Linked DNA regions of Drosophila melanogaster. Changing the gene in region 1 together with any one later gene gives a genetic interaction. Each region holds a gene or a part of one and is shown on either strand. Other genes may lie near its edges. The genes, in order: myo and plum.

What was found.
Region 2: of myo (region 1) and plum, changing one suppresses a phenotype caused by changing the other (phenotypic suppression), as found in Drosophila melanogaster (one study listed by BioGRID).

What each region holds. Positions count from the first base shown.
Region 1 is NC_004353.4:689,363-698,589, forward strand, and holds myo (myoglianin), read right to left. Parts: upstream 6,694-9,227; 5' UTR 6,335-6,693; exon of another isoform or gene 5,976-6,334; 5' UTR 5,852-5,975; intron 5,055-5,851; 5' UTR 5,028-5,054; coding exon 4,019-5,027; intron 3,482-4,018; coding exon 3,063-3,481; intron 2,998-3,062; coding exon 2,629-2,997; 3' UTR 1,324-2,628; downstream 1-1,323.
Region 2 is NT_033777.3:26,531,355-26,537,442, reverse strand, and holds the start of plum (plum), read left to right. Parts: upstream 1-2,225; 5' UTR 2,226-2,719; intron 2,720-5,020; 5' UTR 5,021-5,218; coding exon 5,219-5,330; intron 5,331-6,088.

The DNA.
Region 1 (9,227 bases):
TTATTAATGAGATATAACTAGAAAAATTTAATTTCATAAACAAATTTTTTAAAAATATATTGTGCATTTATACATACATACTATATAATTATATATACGCATTGCTTAGCCCTAAATAATATTCTTCGTAAGATAGCATAGTGTTGTAAGGTATTTAATGCGTTCTCATTCATATGACAAAGAATAAGTATATCTAAATAAAATAAATAGAACATATTAATCTGTAAAATTCCATTACTTACGTTTTTTTTAAATAAAACGGTATCTATGGTGCTTATAACAAACTTGAACCATAATTATTGTTTGATGAAAAAAGCTCCCATATAACATTGAAAATAAATTCATGGAAAATTAATGATAGAAAATATGGATACCCCAACAGTCGAGTTCAGATTAAATTACGGACTTCGGCAATTGAGACATTTTTATTTCTGAAAAATTATAAAATATAATATCTTCACAATTGCAATTTATAGTCAATATTTTAAATGTTTTTACCTGAAAATGTTGCTTACATATTTTGTTACAAATTAAATTTCATTTTATCTTTTATTTTAGAATAGCGCAAAAAATTGTGCAACAATAAAATGTTAATTCCAATAAAGACGTAAAGAATGTCTATTTAATTTATTTTTACCAAGTTTAACATCTTGGTGGCATATTTAATTCGACCGTTTGGTTCTGCAATAAATTCTATTGTGCTACGCTCAAATAAAAGATTGAATAGTCTTCAAAAAATATAATTTGTAATACGTACAAACAAAAAGAGTAGTAAATATTTTTGTACACAGTTTGTAAGGACTTGCATTTAACTTATAATTGGCGGCTAATACATTTACAACGAATGTTTTACTAATTCAAACGAGGTATCACTTCAATTGGGAAACAAAAACAAATAATTTATGCAAAACAACAATAAGAATTAATATAGATGTAAAATATAAATACGTTCACCTAATTTAAAATTTATAATTATAAGTATAATACAAAAGTAATTAAAAGAGAAGTAAGCGCCCAATAACAAACATTAAACAACAAAAAACAAAATATTAACAATATGAAAATATCCGTATTGTGTTCGACAAAAAGTAATATATCTTAAAGTACATTTCATATATCGACTTAGATCGGCATTCCCATTTTACTGATTAGTATTCACATTAAAGGGCCAACTTAAGAACCGAGAGCCCTAAATTTATATGAGAAATATTTATGGAAATATAAGTATATCAACTTATATACTAATGTATCACTAAATGGTTATATAATAAATTTTTCGGAAATAAATAAATTGGTTGGCTTATTAGTAAAAGGGGGGGGGGGGGGGGGTTGACATTATGAGTTTATACCGAAAGCTTAGGTATATCGAAACCCATATTCTATTAAAAAAAAAAAAACAAGAGAACGCTTTAGACGTGTAATCCAGATAAGATCGTATGACTCCTTGGCGATGGTACTCCTTAGCGAGCCTAAGTTTTTGGCAAAATGCCGTAATTTTTTTCAAGAGTTTTTATCTTCACCCACTCTATATTCGGAATGTCACACAATCATCTCACGACTATCCCCTTTAAGTGCTTACCTATCATCAGCTAATGTTGGAGCACTTGTCAAAATTATTATTATTGACAACTCCTAAGTACTCTTGCAAACGTTTAGAAGCCAATCCTGCGACAAGTAGTGTTAATAGAAGATTCGAAAATAACGCATAAGAAAAATAAGTTCTTTTTGGCACTCAACCAAGCATTCGAGCTTATATCGTAGGAACTAATCGGAATAAGTTTCAAAACTAACCAATTCTAGCATATTTTTTTTTAACACTATGTAGATGGAGATAGAGAAAGTGAGCGCTGTAACGCCACTGCGCTGCATTGCTACTTGTATATCTATATTTCTCTGGCACGTTATTTAACTTTTAATTATTATGAAATAAGTTCTGTGTGCTTTGCGAAACGTAAGGTTAGCCTTTGTTCTAATCAACATTATTCATACAAATCCTTACTTGTCTTGAAAAGAACAGCATATGGAAGTCTCGTTTGCACACGCACAAAGCCGTTCACTGTAAAATATTCTATATGCTCACGATGCACGGGATATGAACACCTTTATACATTTAGCTGTGTATTCAAATTAGGTAATCACACAACCGTAAATGATCCACATGTAGCCTCCGTTCAGACTATATTTGTCTGACGGTGCCATTTGTTATTCACTCAATTTTTATCAAAACTTAAGGTACTTAGTTTATTTTAACCGTGTATTTCTTTATGCGTCATACAATCATTTTATTTAAAACGATTATTTTTTGTTTGCTTTTCATTTGTAATTCGTAATGCACAGTTTAAAATATATTGTTTCGCTCTATACTTATCTTATACGGTAATGTAGGAATTCATTTTTAAATATTTTTTAATTTTTTACTGTTTTTAATTGCGATCTATTTATTAATTTGGGAATCATCAGCATGCAATCTGACCTATTTTACATTTTAAAAATGTAAATTTTATATCAAATTTGGGAATTGTACTTTAAACTAGCCTTCTCAAACAGATCCATATTCCTTTGCGTTAATTTATTTACATAGCATATGTATTAGTTCTATTTTCAAAGAACACTTTCGAATTTTGTTCGCTAAGAACAGCTGCAACCCTCGACAGACATATTTGGTATAACACTTAAAACCAGATTATGGTTATCGTCAAAATATAACAAACTTAAGGAACTCATTTTTGTCGGCGAGCAACACGGTGTGGCCGATGTCGTTAAGGCTGCTAAATGTGTATGGGGATATTGCTCTAGGTAACCAACTTTGCAGTCACCACTGCAGAAGTATGCGTCAAAGGACGTTGGTGCTACAACGAAATGCCATCCAAAGCTGGTGAAATTAACTTTGAGGGGATATCGACAACAGCGCATGTCATGATCATTTTCTGTGCAGTCCATATATACGCTGCGCTTTCTTCGATGCTTTTTTTGCGACCCAATTTCTATGTGAACAGTCTGAAATATTAAAAATATATTTAGTAGAGTAAGTGTATTCAACTTCATTATAAATGGCTTCTAACCAATGGATTTTTCGATGTGTTGTCTGTGGTCACCACTAATGACTTCATCCAGGTTTCTGCGCCCTTTATTAGAATTTCTTGCGTCATATTAGACCCAAGATTACCAAGCAGAGACTTTAAGTCCACAGCAACCCATTGTCCAAGTCCTGACGGAATACTATGTCGAAACTCAAACATTTTGACTTTAGGATTAAAGCTTGTTGTATTTGCAACCCTAATAGCGCGGTGAATAGTCACAACAATATCTTTACGTGGCTGTTTTTTAATTTCTTCAAGAAGTCCAGGTTGATGAGCACTTATCCAATCCCAACCACGTAAATATAGATGAAGGGTAGCGTAAGACAAGTCTGAGTAGCTACTGTCAATTTGAAACCGAAAAACATCGACCTTGCGATTGTGCCGAACATGAGGTTGAATTTCTAAAAGAACGAAAATATAAACGAAAATTATTAATTTTTTCATTGAAATTTGATTTCTTAAAAGCAAAAATTGGGTATTGATTAATGTTTGTTGTAAACAGTTCATTTTTTGTATGTTAAAGGGGTCAATGCCACTTGTCTTTTACCTCGTCAAGATTTTAGGAAATGTGTCGATTCTTTTTTGAAAATACACTACGCCAATGAATTTTGGGAAAACAATTTCTAAAGATAGAGAAGAAGTCATATGTATTTTTGCTTGCTTTCTCTTATTAAAGGAAAAAAGTTCGAAATCTAAACCTATAACCAAATCGGGCCCAAAAAAGATATAAATATAAGATAAATGATTATGCTTCTTACTTACAAAAAGTCTAGAAATATATTTACACAGATTTTAGTGACGTTATATATGCTTTTTACTTCTCTTAAGCTCTCCTTGTCTTTTCCTCCCTTTATCTATACCTACTCTTATATATAATATCTTCTCTTATTCAATATCTTCCTATATCTATATCTACTTTAAGAATGCTGTTTACTTACCCTCGGGAAATATGTATATACTGCTGATGTGAGACAAAATACTCTCGTACTCCTCATCGTTGGTATTAATAGGAATGTCCGACTTTTTAGCTTGATTTTTATTCAAATCTATCAGAAATTCATTAACAGTGTTAGCATCATCTCCCTGCATTTGGGAGGATGAACTTTCATCAAAAAAATCAGTCATTATGTGGTCGCCATAAGTGTCATTTATAGACAAATGAGATTCGTCAATGCTTTCCATGCGATTCCAAACAGTAGTTTTTGAAGATGCATTATAATCTCTATAAAAGTTATCTATTATATTTTGTGGTACTGAAATTGGTTTTGTTATATTGGGAAGTTTTTTTAAATTCAAGCGCATAAGTATGTGCATTTTAATCGATTCTATACTATCCACTTTGGCTTTCTCACGCAACTGACGCTGTAGCATACTTTCTATATTTATTAAGGTATTGCGATACAAAGATACACTTTGAACTCTTGATAAATCTCCATGCTCTGATACCTTTGCTAAAGGGGTACTTTTTTTCCCCGGTTTACTTTGTACTTTCATTTGGAATATTCCCATATTTTCATTTATTTTATCATCCGCCGATATTGAAGAAGAACCATTTTTTTCTGATAGTACTTTTGCACTATTGTTTGTTTCGTTACTCAACATAACCATTTCCGGACTATCGTTGTTGGAAGAATTACTGAAGCTTTTATTTTCTGGCTGAGCATAAGCATTGACTGCAGTCGATAAAATTAAGAGTACGGTGACCGTGACATATCGAGTTACACGGAAATTACCTCTCTTATGTCCAAGAATATTCATTCGCCCGATATTTATTTTTTTTGAGTCAAGATTAAATCTGTAAGAACCTGGAAACTGGATTTCGTTGGAGTTCACTTCTATGTGAACTGTTGTATCTGATGTGTTCTGTCGAGTTTTTTTCTTTAGGGTTCTATGATGCTGATCATGGGTTTTATATTTTCTCCAACCGCAGCATGAGTTGGCCAGCATGATTTTTGATCAAACCGTTGATGAATGCTGAAAAGGACTTGTATTTATAAATATACTTGATATATTTTAAAATAAGAAAAAATAAAAATAATAATTATTATTTATTTTTGGAGACAGCGGCTGGTGATCTTGTCATCCAATCAACTTGGCTCTTGTTGGCCTTATTTTACAATTTTTTTAAAAATCAAATCGCGAAATACAAGCTGTTAGATAATCCCCTGCTGTATTCGATTAAGTCGGATTCCCAAGGTAATACCTTAAACAGCTGTGCAGAGAAAAAAGAAGAGCGCACCCCTTTAAACCCTATTAAAGCATTAGCACGGAAGTCAATGATTCCCCTTCGCGAGTCAATACAAAAAAAAAAAAAAAAAAAAATTGAATAGCTTACGCCACTGACGATCTCTAACTTCAAAAATATTAAAATTATTGGCAAAATTTGGACAATATAATATTTCGGTTTTAAATTGATAGACTTTTGACGATCATATCATATAGCTAACTGTTGAAAAAAATTATAGACTCGTTGTTTTCAAATAAAAAGAGTTCTTCTTCAGTATGCACATTTTTTTGAAAATATATAATTTAGGTTTTTAATCGATCAAAATCAGACGACCATACACTTATATACCTGCCATAGGGAAAAATGGCTCTATGGCTATAAAGCTTAGGAAAAAACACTGACAATTGTAAAACCATTTTTCGTCACAAATCGGCACGGTGAGGCTGCGATCGTCACTTGATTTGTGTGCTCGTGAATATTCTAAAACTCGGAATAACGGAATAATAACCTTCAAAAACTTGTTTCAGGCTACGAAAAAACTTACTTTGAATATAGTAGAAGTATAAAATCCTGCAGCACCGGATATAATGATTTTTAAAAATTAAAAATCATATCTGCATTGTTTGATCCGCCTTGGAAGCGCGATGCGCCAGCAGAAAATGACCACCCTAATGTGCACACAGTCGTAAAAGTTAGTTCAAGCTACATATGTACATGCACATATGCAAAGCCCGTTCATAAACGTTTCACATGAGTCCTCTTTATGACCACTATTGTATTCAATTAAAACCATTTATAAACATAATAAATTATTGTGCTCTTGAACTTCAGTTCATCGCTGAAAGTGCATTATTCCCCTTTTACAAGCAGAACAACGTAAATGAGATATATCATATGTATGTACATACGTAAATTATACATACATACAGAATAAATAGCATGCATATAAGCACATATGTACATTTTTAAAGCTGTGTATGTACAAAGTTATGTACATTTAGCGATAACAAACTTTTTAAACACCTACCAATTGTACATAAGTAGATATATACTTATCTATCGGTATTTATTTTATTTTTATACACTTGTACAACCAAAATCTATTTTGAAACTAGGCAATTGTGTGTTTTAATATATGTATAGTATATATTATTAAATGTTTTATATTGAAGTAACAGTGGGCCTACGGTTTCGAACATTATTCTTTTGCAATCCGCTTTTGTTAAATTTATTATTCATTGTCCAAAAACACATAGTTTGAAAAAATTGTGTATTCAATTGCGCACTAAATAATAATAATTTATTTCTCATAGAGAACCAATATTTGAAAACCCGCAGAGATTCTGTACTGCTGTGCGATTGAGCGACGAAGTAGAACTGAAAGCAGCTGATCAGATGCGATCGGATACATACGGCTCACCGGCAATTTCGTTTTAGTTGGCATAACAGGCCGCTTTTAAAAATGTATCTGCTGAAACGCATTGCAAGAGTAAACTTTAATTCATATTAACATTTTTATCGAGCAAAATAGCATTATATTAAAATGAAATATTTATTGAATATACTCCTACTTTTTTTTTTACAATTCTAGAAAACATTTTATTTATATTTCCACTGTCGCTAATAATCACTTTCTATTGTAAATCAATTTAATCCTTAAGCCGTTTTAACTCTTATAAGTTATGAGTGTAGACATTTTTACATTTCAAAGATTTCAAATAGACCCGAAGAAACTATATAAGATATATTTTTATTAGCAGGATTTGATTTGTCTCTATAATTTTGGTTCCCTAGTTGTTTTTTTTTATTACACAAAATTGAGTGCTATTATACAACAAAAATTACATGCGTATTAATTTGTACTACTGGAATGACTATATTGATACAAAGGAATTTTTAAAATTTAACCGAAGTTCCGCATTCTTGTCCTAACATTTCGTGTTTTAAATTAACGGCAAAAATGTCGTTACTCTGGAATTAATAAAAAGTACCCAACGCACTTACATAAGTATGCAAAAATAATTTTATGTGTATAAAAGAAACTTATATTAAATCAAGTACATATTCGTGCGGGTCCCCTTTGTTCCGCAGTCTTCTTATATAATTATTGCCCATTAATATGGTTGTGTAAGAAGGCAATCTGGGAACTCCATAAAAAGGGTAGGGACAATTACCGCGATGTCTAGTGTTTTCCAGATTAGCTGTCGATATATCGACGCCCGTACAGATGTTTAAGCCTTTCCACACATACATTTATGAGTTTCCTATCGATATGGAAGAAAACGATAGGTGTTCACACTGTACTAACTTATTTTTATTGCTTTGTATCAGCAATTCTGTTGTTTTACTTAAGAATAGCAATTCAAATGGAGAAGACTTCTTTTATGTATCAACAAAGTAACTGATAAGAGATTATTTATTGGATGGATTGTAAGCTACTTATTTTTTCCATTGTGGTTAACAATTTACGATTTTTTTTTGGTTATAATAAAGATTTAAATAAAATAATTTCAACAAGTGCGTCAATTTTCCTTCATCTACGCACATATAGATGGTAATCGTGCGATAAACCTAATATTACGAAAATGGCGATCACGCATTCAACCGATAAATACAGAACTAAAATACTTCCTGATCAAAAACAAGAATTTATAATTTTTTTTCTATTATTTCCACTACGTTGCAATTTTCTGACAGAAATCACTATACGCTCTGCAATGGTTTAACAATAGGAAACGCTTTAGTTGGCTTTCAAATATTTTTCACAACATTTTCAACGAGTAGATTAGTTGAACTATTAATAGCTCATTAATGGACCGATTCTTTAGGTCTGCTAAATTATCATTCTTATATCTGTGAATTTATTTATTTACTGCATCGAATTTTTGAAAATAACGTATTCTCTACGCAATCACTGGTATTGGGTTGCCATATCGATTTCTATATATGTTAAGAGTTGCCGTTTGTATTTTTACACGCCGAGAGTTGCCATCCTGATACGAGCAGATGCGTGCTGAAGTCCAATCGATACTACAAAATACCAAAATACACAGAAAATATAAACAATATTGCATAAACAATATTGTACGAACGTTCGTTTTAGTGTTTAATCACATACTGTTTTTCCCCCATCCGAAAATCGAAGAAAATGTGTGACAATCAATATCTAATAAAAGAATCAGGATACATGTGCGACCATTCGTAATATAAATATGTATGTATATTTTGTAAATATTATTCCCTACTAACTAAACCCATCTGTGTGAATTTTTCCCAAAAGCCCTCTTATTATTGCAGGTAGTACATATATTAGTCGAAATAATTATGATCCGAAAGTTTTTTAATAAGGCTTTTGACCGTAATTAATTTCGAATTGGTTTAACCAAAAAGTGACGACGGTCATTTAAAAGGTCAGAAATTTAATTTAAAATATTAGAAGAGAAACTCTAATATTTTTATTTTGTGTCATACATTGCACCCATTCGGAATATACCGTTTTTTTTTAAAATTATATGTAATGCCCTTTGGCTTGCCACTCACTCGGTGAGGCCATAAGATGTTCTCCGATCGCCACCGTGTTTAAGAGAGAAAGTTGCAGAATGAAGTCTTACAAGCACATTTCTAAAAAAGGGACAACGCTCTTAAAAGGAAATAGTTATATATACCGAGTAATGACATCTGTGATTAGTCTATGATTTATATTATAATATAGCTACGCAGATCGTAACTAACAGATACCCCTTACATTGCTGGTAGGAGTTTTTACTCCTACTCTCTTTTGAGAGATGGAGAAAAAATAAAAAGAAAAACACTCTTCGATATTGGTCGATAGCTTAAGCTGGTGGCGGTTAGATTAATTGCCATTGTAATTTGCGGGCGTTACTCATTTGGCACTCTTAAAATCAAAGTGGAAAGAAAGG
Region 2 (6,088 bases), on another chromosome or scaffold:
ACCGATAGTTGGACACTTTCTTTCGCTATCTCGGGCTCTTATTTATCGCACACGTTTCGCCCACATTTTTCACTGTAATTAAATTTTACATTTTATTTATATTTATTTATTTGATTGCTTCTCGCATTGCGATTACGTTAGGCGTTGCGCTACGTGAAACGGCAAGGGAAAAACGTAAGATAGACTTTTTTCTTTTTTGTGTTTGCCTGGCCTTGCCATTTTGTTGTTGCGGCTCACTGGAGTTTGTTTGAAAGAGAGAGGACGAGCGAGAGAGCGCCAAAAGAGAGCCGCTTACACACAAACGCACAAACACGCGCCTGTGTGGGTAATAAGCGAAATAATGAATAATAATCAATTCTAATTGGCACTTGGTTGGAATGCCATAAAACGCATTGCATCACGTAGTTAGTTAAAAGAAACAAGAAACGCAACGCAACGCATCGCATTTGTTGCTTCCTCTCCACAGCGAAGCTGCGTGGAATGGTGGAATAGTGAAAAACTTCAGCGGAAAATTAACATTAATGCGACACACCCAAACGGACACACGCACACAGGGAAAGCCCGAAAGCCGGGAATCCAAATAGCTATTTCGTTACGTTACGTTTCTCTCGTTTTTGTGCCACTGTGCAGCGGCGTATGTTTTGGAATTTACACACACACGCACACGCAGGACAAGCGCACACACACGGACGAACGCACACATATACGCGCAGGCTGCGCAACAACAAAATGCTAGTCTAAGGCGGCGAGGAATCAGCGAAAAAGTGAAAGAGAAGGCGCTAGCTGGCGTTCTCCCTGCGTTTTTCGCACGCTTTGACGCGTTATTTGCACGAGTATTTACTGTAGTTACAGGGGCCACACAGAACAACGAAAATCGCAGCGAGCAGCACGTCTAAATTACGAACACGTACACGCACGCACACACACACACTCGCACGCACTCATGCAGTTAAAAAACAGGCGGTTTTTTCGCTTCCACACTCAAAAGCGGTCGAAAATCACGAGCGTTGGGTGAAAATCAACCGTTGTTTTCATCCGCGTTTACAATTTTTTCTCGTCGTCCGCCCGCGCGCAACAACAACTCTTTGCAGTATGACGCTCTGGAAAAACCAAGAAAAAGGTGACACTCCTCTTCCATCAACGAAGTATCTTCGCATACGTTCACACTTTGGAGAAATTTTGTGAATCGCCGTCTGGTCACACTACTAGCAACTGCGCAACTCACCTTTAGTAAAGACAACAACCATTCGTTTTATTTGCCATCTCTATTTCCGATTTTTAATCGGCGCCTTCCTATTTGAGATGAAGTTTAAGTTAATATTTTAAATTAAGATTAAAAGATAATGAATATTTTCATTAATTACGTTAAAAAAGGAAAATAACTTGAATACTGTAAAGTACTTGGTGTTCGGTAAGTAATTATAATATAATATAACACAAGATAATAATATAATATGTAATATTTTTCTAGTGCAAAATAAAAGTTACGTTTGTCTGTAATAAATTTAAATCTTAGTACTAGATTCAACAAACTGCATTTTTTTTGTGTCTCTTTTTTGCTTTACTCGCATTCCGTTTTGTTTGTTTTTCGCTGCTCGAAAAGCTTACGCTGCCGACTGCGACGTCGACATTGAAATTTTGGCGTCGCAAACAAAAACAAAAGTTGCCGGCTCTCTTCAAAGCTCAAATTGAGCAAGATAAAAGAGTGTACAAATTCTCTTAAGTTGCTGCTCTCTTACAACCGCTTAATGTTAAGCAATGTTAACCGATTTAAACCCAAAGGTTTTGTTCTTTGTATCTTGATGTTAAAAAGAGCTGAAATTGTTTAACATTTTTTTTTGTCATAGGAATGTGTATTTGATATTCCTTCATGTCTATTTGGTGTTTAAGAAGATATTGAGCATTATTTTTAGTGCTAAGTTTAAGTGAAGCCTAAATGATTAAAGCTGTGGAGTTCGATTTTTGCAATGCAAGACAACATCGTAAAGAAGAAGTAGAAGCTGGTAGTTTTTATCTTTTACGTTTTAAAACAGATGCGAATTTTCCATCTGATCGCAATCGTATTACATTCAAATCGGCGCCTTTCCCGAATCGGTTAACATAGCGCCGAGGAGAAAGAGAAATTGGGGGAGTATCACTATCGCTTTCTCGTTCTTTCGCCGAACGGGCTGCTTGTCGCCGCCGTTCCATTCATAAGCATAAGTTAAGCAGTGCGCCAAAGCTCGGCGAACAGTTTGGACGTGTTTGCTGCGTCGCTCTGTGTAATTGCGGGCGGATTTCTCTAGTAAATTTTTGCCGGCGCTTGTAAATTCGCGATATTTTCGACGACGCTGCGTGCTTGTGTGTGTTTCAAACAACAAACAAAAGTTAAACAAGCTGGGCAACAACAGTAATTGCAGCTATGTGTGCGTCTGTGTTTGCGTGTGTTTGAGTGCGTGAGTGCGAGCGAAACACAAACGTAAAGCGGAAATGCAAAAAAGACAACAAAGGTAGCAGAAAAGTAAAAAGTAAAAAGTAAAAGAGAGGAGCCGGTGCAGCCAGAAAGAGCAAGACAGCACGAGTGGGGGCTAATGAAAACGAAATGTGATTCATTGGCTTTATCAATTGTGCAAAATTCCGGCATTGTTTAGTCCTGGGCGACAAATAAATTATGACATAATACAACAAAGGGCGAAATAACAAGAAACTGGAGACGCAGCAAAGCACAAAAAAGCGTAAAGTGCGTGTATGTGTGCGAGTGGGAGTGCGTGTACGTTTGTGTGTGTGCGTGTGGGTGGCATCAGTATTTGAAAATTGAGAAATTCCAAACAAACAAAGCGGCAAAAAGGATATACGAATGTATGTAGCAAAGGAAAAACTCCAAGTACAGTAGTTGCTGCTGCTTCTTGTTCACGCAAAAGGCAAAAACGCAAAAAAGCAAAAAAACCCAAAGGCAAAATACCCGAAAAAGCAAAGGCAAAGCAGCAAGAGCGTAGCAAAAACAAAAAACAAGGAGCAAAACGGCGGCATCTCAAAAGCTTAGTAAGCTGCGCTGCTGCTGCCGCCGCTGCTGTTGCTTCTTCTTCACTGTTTTCTTCTCCTTATTTTTTATTTTTGCAAACAAAAAAGTATATGATGCCCAAACAAGAAGCGCAAGAAGAAGCAGCAGTCGGGAGAGGAACGAGCATAATAGAAGGTAGAAATTTCGAGGAAATCGAAATTTGCGTCGTTGCTGAAATTCGTTTGTTTCCTCATCTTCCTCCCCTTCGTCCTCTTCATCCGCTCTTTCGCTCTCTGTTTTCCTGAGCGCCGGATTTTGCGGCTCTTTGTGTGTGTGTGTCGTGTATCTGTGTGTTTTTGTGCAAAAATTCGCGTACAATTTGTTTTATATAACAACAACTACCCCAATGTGATTTCCTTTGCTCAGCCGGCTTTTTGCTCATCTTCCAGTTTTGGGTTTTATCTTAAACCAAAACCGAATATTATACAATATATTTCGAAAAAGATGTAAACGAGACAAAGTTTTATATCGCAGGGCTGTAAACAAATGAACGCCACAATGCACAGAAGAAATAAGCTAGTATTTCCAATATTTTTTCAACCAGAAGCATTTTTTATTTTATTCGTTTAATTTGCTTGCTTGGTTAATAAAACAAACGAATTTTTAATAAAATTCAATTAGAAATCTAAATGCTATTACAAATTTAAACGCAATCCAATTACTTTCTGTGTATTCAAAACAAAAAACCGTAGCTCAAATTCGCACAAGCGTTTTTTTTCATTTTTCTTTTGATTTATCGAATTGTTTTTTTTCAATTGTCGTACGGATAAAAGTTTGTCTGCGATGTGCGTTACTTTTTGCAAAGCCTTTCATAGTTCGAACAGCAAAGGCATCAACAATATAATAGTAAGCCAGAAATATATTTTAGCATTCATATATGCGATTTTTTGCTTTTTGCGAGCTTTGGTTTGCCGCGCAATTTTGCGCTCTTGAGATAGAAATGTATCTTGCAGATACACGCGCCTTTTGTCGAATTGAAATTGAAATGGGCTCCGCCGCCTTTTATGTGGCATCATCACCGCCATCATCATCATTATTATTATTATTATGACTACTATCATTATTATGGAGATGCGTGCGTAATGGCAGATGAAGAATCTGAGCCGTAGAATCTGCGAATTTATCGCAGCTTAAATCCGAGCACACACAAAAAGCCAGTACAAATTTAGGGCCGATAAAAGGATGTCAGAGGAAGTAAAAAGAAAGGATAGAGGGGAAAAACGCAGGATGAAGGATACCTTTGTTAATGCTGATATTATTATGCTAACTGATAGCAGCAGAAATATCTATGTTAAAAAAGGTAATTTTCAATGCAATTCTATACTCATTGCTAAGAACTTATAGTTCTTGGTGTAATAACAGAATATAATATCTAACTGGCGAACAAAAAAAGTTTAGAACGGAAATAATTGCAGTTCGTAAAACAATAGAAACCAAGGGGAAAAAACTTCGGTTGGCTTTTGGAAAAACTTTCTCAAAACTTTATGCTTTAAAAGTGTAATCAAGTAAATCAGTAATATTAATAATAACTTGAAACTTTTAGTTTCTCATACAGAGCTTCTTTTAATTTGATAAAAAAGCGACGCGAACAAAAGATGAACAAGAAATGAAAATTTGTTAATTTTGAATATGGCTTTTTCCAATCTTGGTATGTATTTTCACTGTCCCTTGGGATTGTTTTCCACCCCAAGCCACGGGTTAATGCCCCACCACCTCATCAATTTTCCGATTTGAGCGGTGACAAACTGATGACATTGGCGCCGGGCCATCGTGTTGGCGGCATGTTTGTGCGGACTATTTAACAAATTGAGTATACGCACTGTTGCACGCGTAAAATATTTATGCCTGTGCCCAAATGTATTAGCATACTTTTGTGTGCGTGGGCGTGTGTGTGTGTTTGTGTGCATGGGTGTGTGCATTAGATTAGTGAATAAAATTCGGTGATTTGATTTCTCCCCCGATTTTCATTTATTTCCGAAGCCAAACATCGCGGTGAACAGAGAAATGAGAAAATGCTCTTGCTAATCGTATTGACTGGAAGAGCGTGAAGAGCTCGCTAACGTTCCAATAATCGCAAAAAGATAAAAAAAAATCTATATAGTTATAATTACAATCGCGGTTGGGCCTAAAAAAGGAGCCCCAGCCGGAAAGCGGTGACAACAAAAAAGTCGGATTGCAATGTGTTTGTTTTACAATCGTCGCCTCTTTGTGATTCAATTGATTGAGATCCTACTGCTGCTGCTAACCGACCACAATGGACGACTGACACTAACCAAGGAGTCGACAACAGGTGAGTGCGGTTACCTTTGCCATATTTCACACTCTAAATTCGCAGTTGTGATGCCAACTCGGCAGTTATTCCGACCAAATTTGAGTGTTTTCAGTAGATTTATAATAATATAATCCCAGTTGTTACAAGTCAATTTTTAAACTAAGGTATTTTTATTATAAGGTAAAATAGTTATGTTTTTCCAGTACTCTTAAAGCAATCTACCAAAGCAGCTGCTAGTTTTTGAACTTGGCAAATTTGGCTAAATTTAGTTTTAAAATAGTTGACAACACTGATTCAAAGTGCCAGTTGGAACTCCGCTGGGGACCCACAAAACTCCAGGCAATAATCATAAACTAATGGCGTAACATGGCAGGCGTGTCCGCATTCCACTCGAAAGGTCTTTCAAGTCTCTCAGCGTGGAGCGTGGAGAAAAAAAAACTTGTTGAGTTTGAAAGGGGTTGGGATTGGTGAGGTGTGGGCTCCTTCGTTCGGGTGTTTGTCCCCGGGATTTCCACGGCCAAATCCCATAAAGAAAATCAGCAACATGAAATATTAAAGTTGGTAAAACACGCGAGAAAAGTTTTTCGGTCTTCCGCGGCACGATTCCGCTGAGGATTGTGGCGTCAGGCTGGATAACTACCCCTTGCCGCTGCTTTTATGAATGTTTTATATTCGACATCTAGCCTGCGCCTTTTGGGGGTTGCTTTTGGGGGCTTACACCCCTGCGCTTACCCCCAGGATTTCGGAATGGTCCCCCTTTGCATGTACGCCGGCTA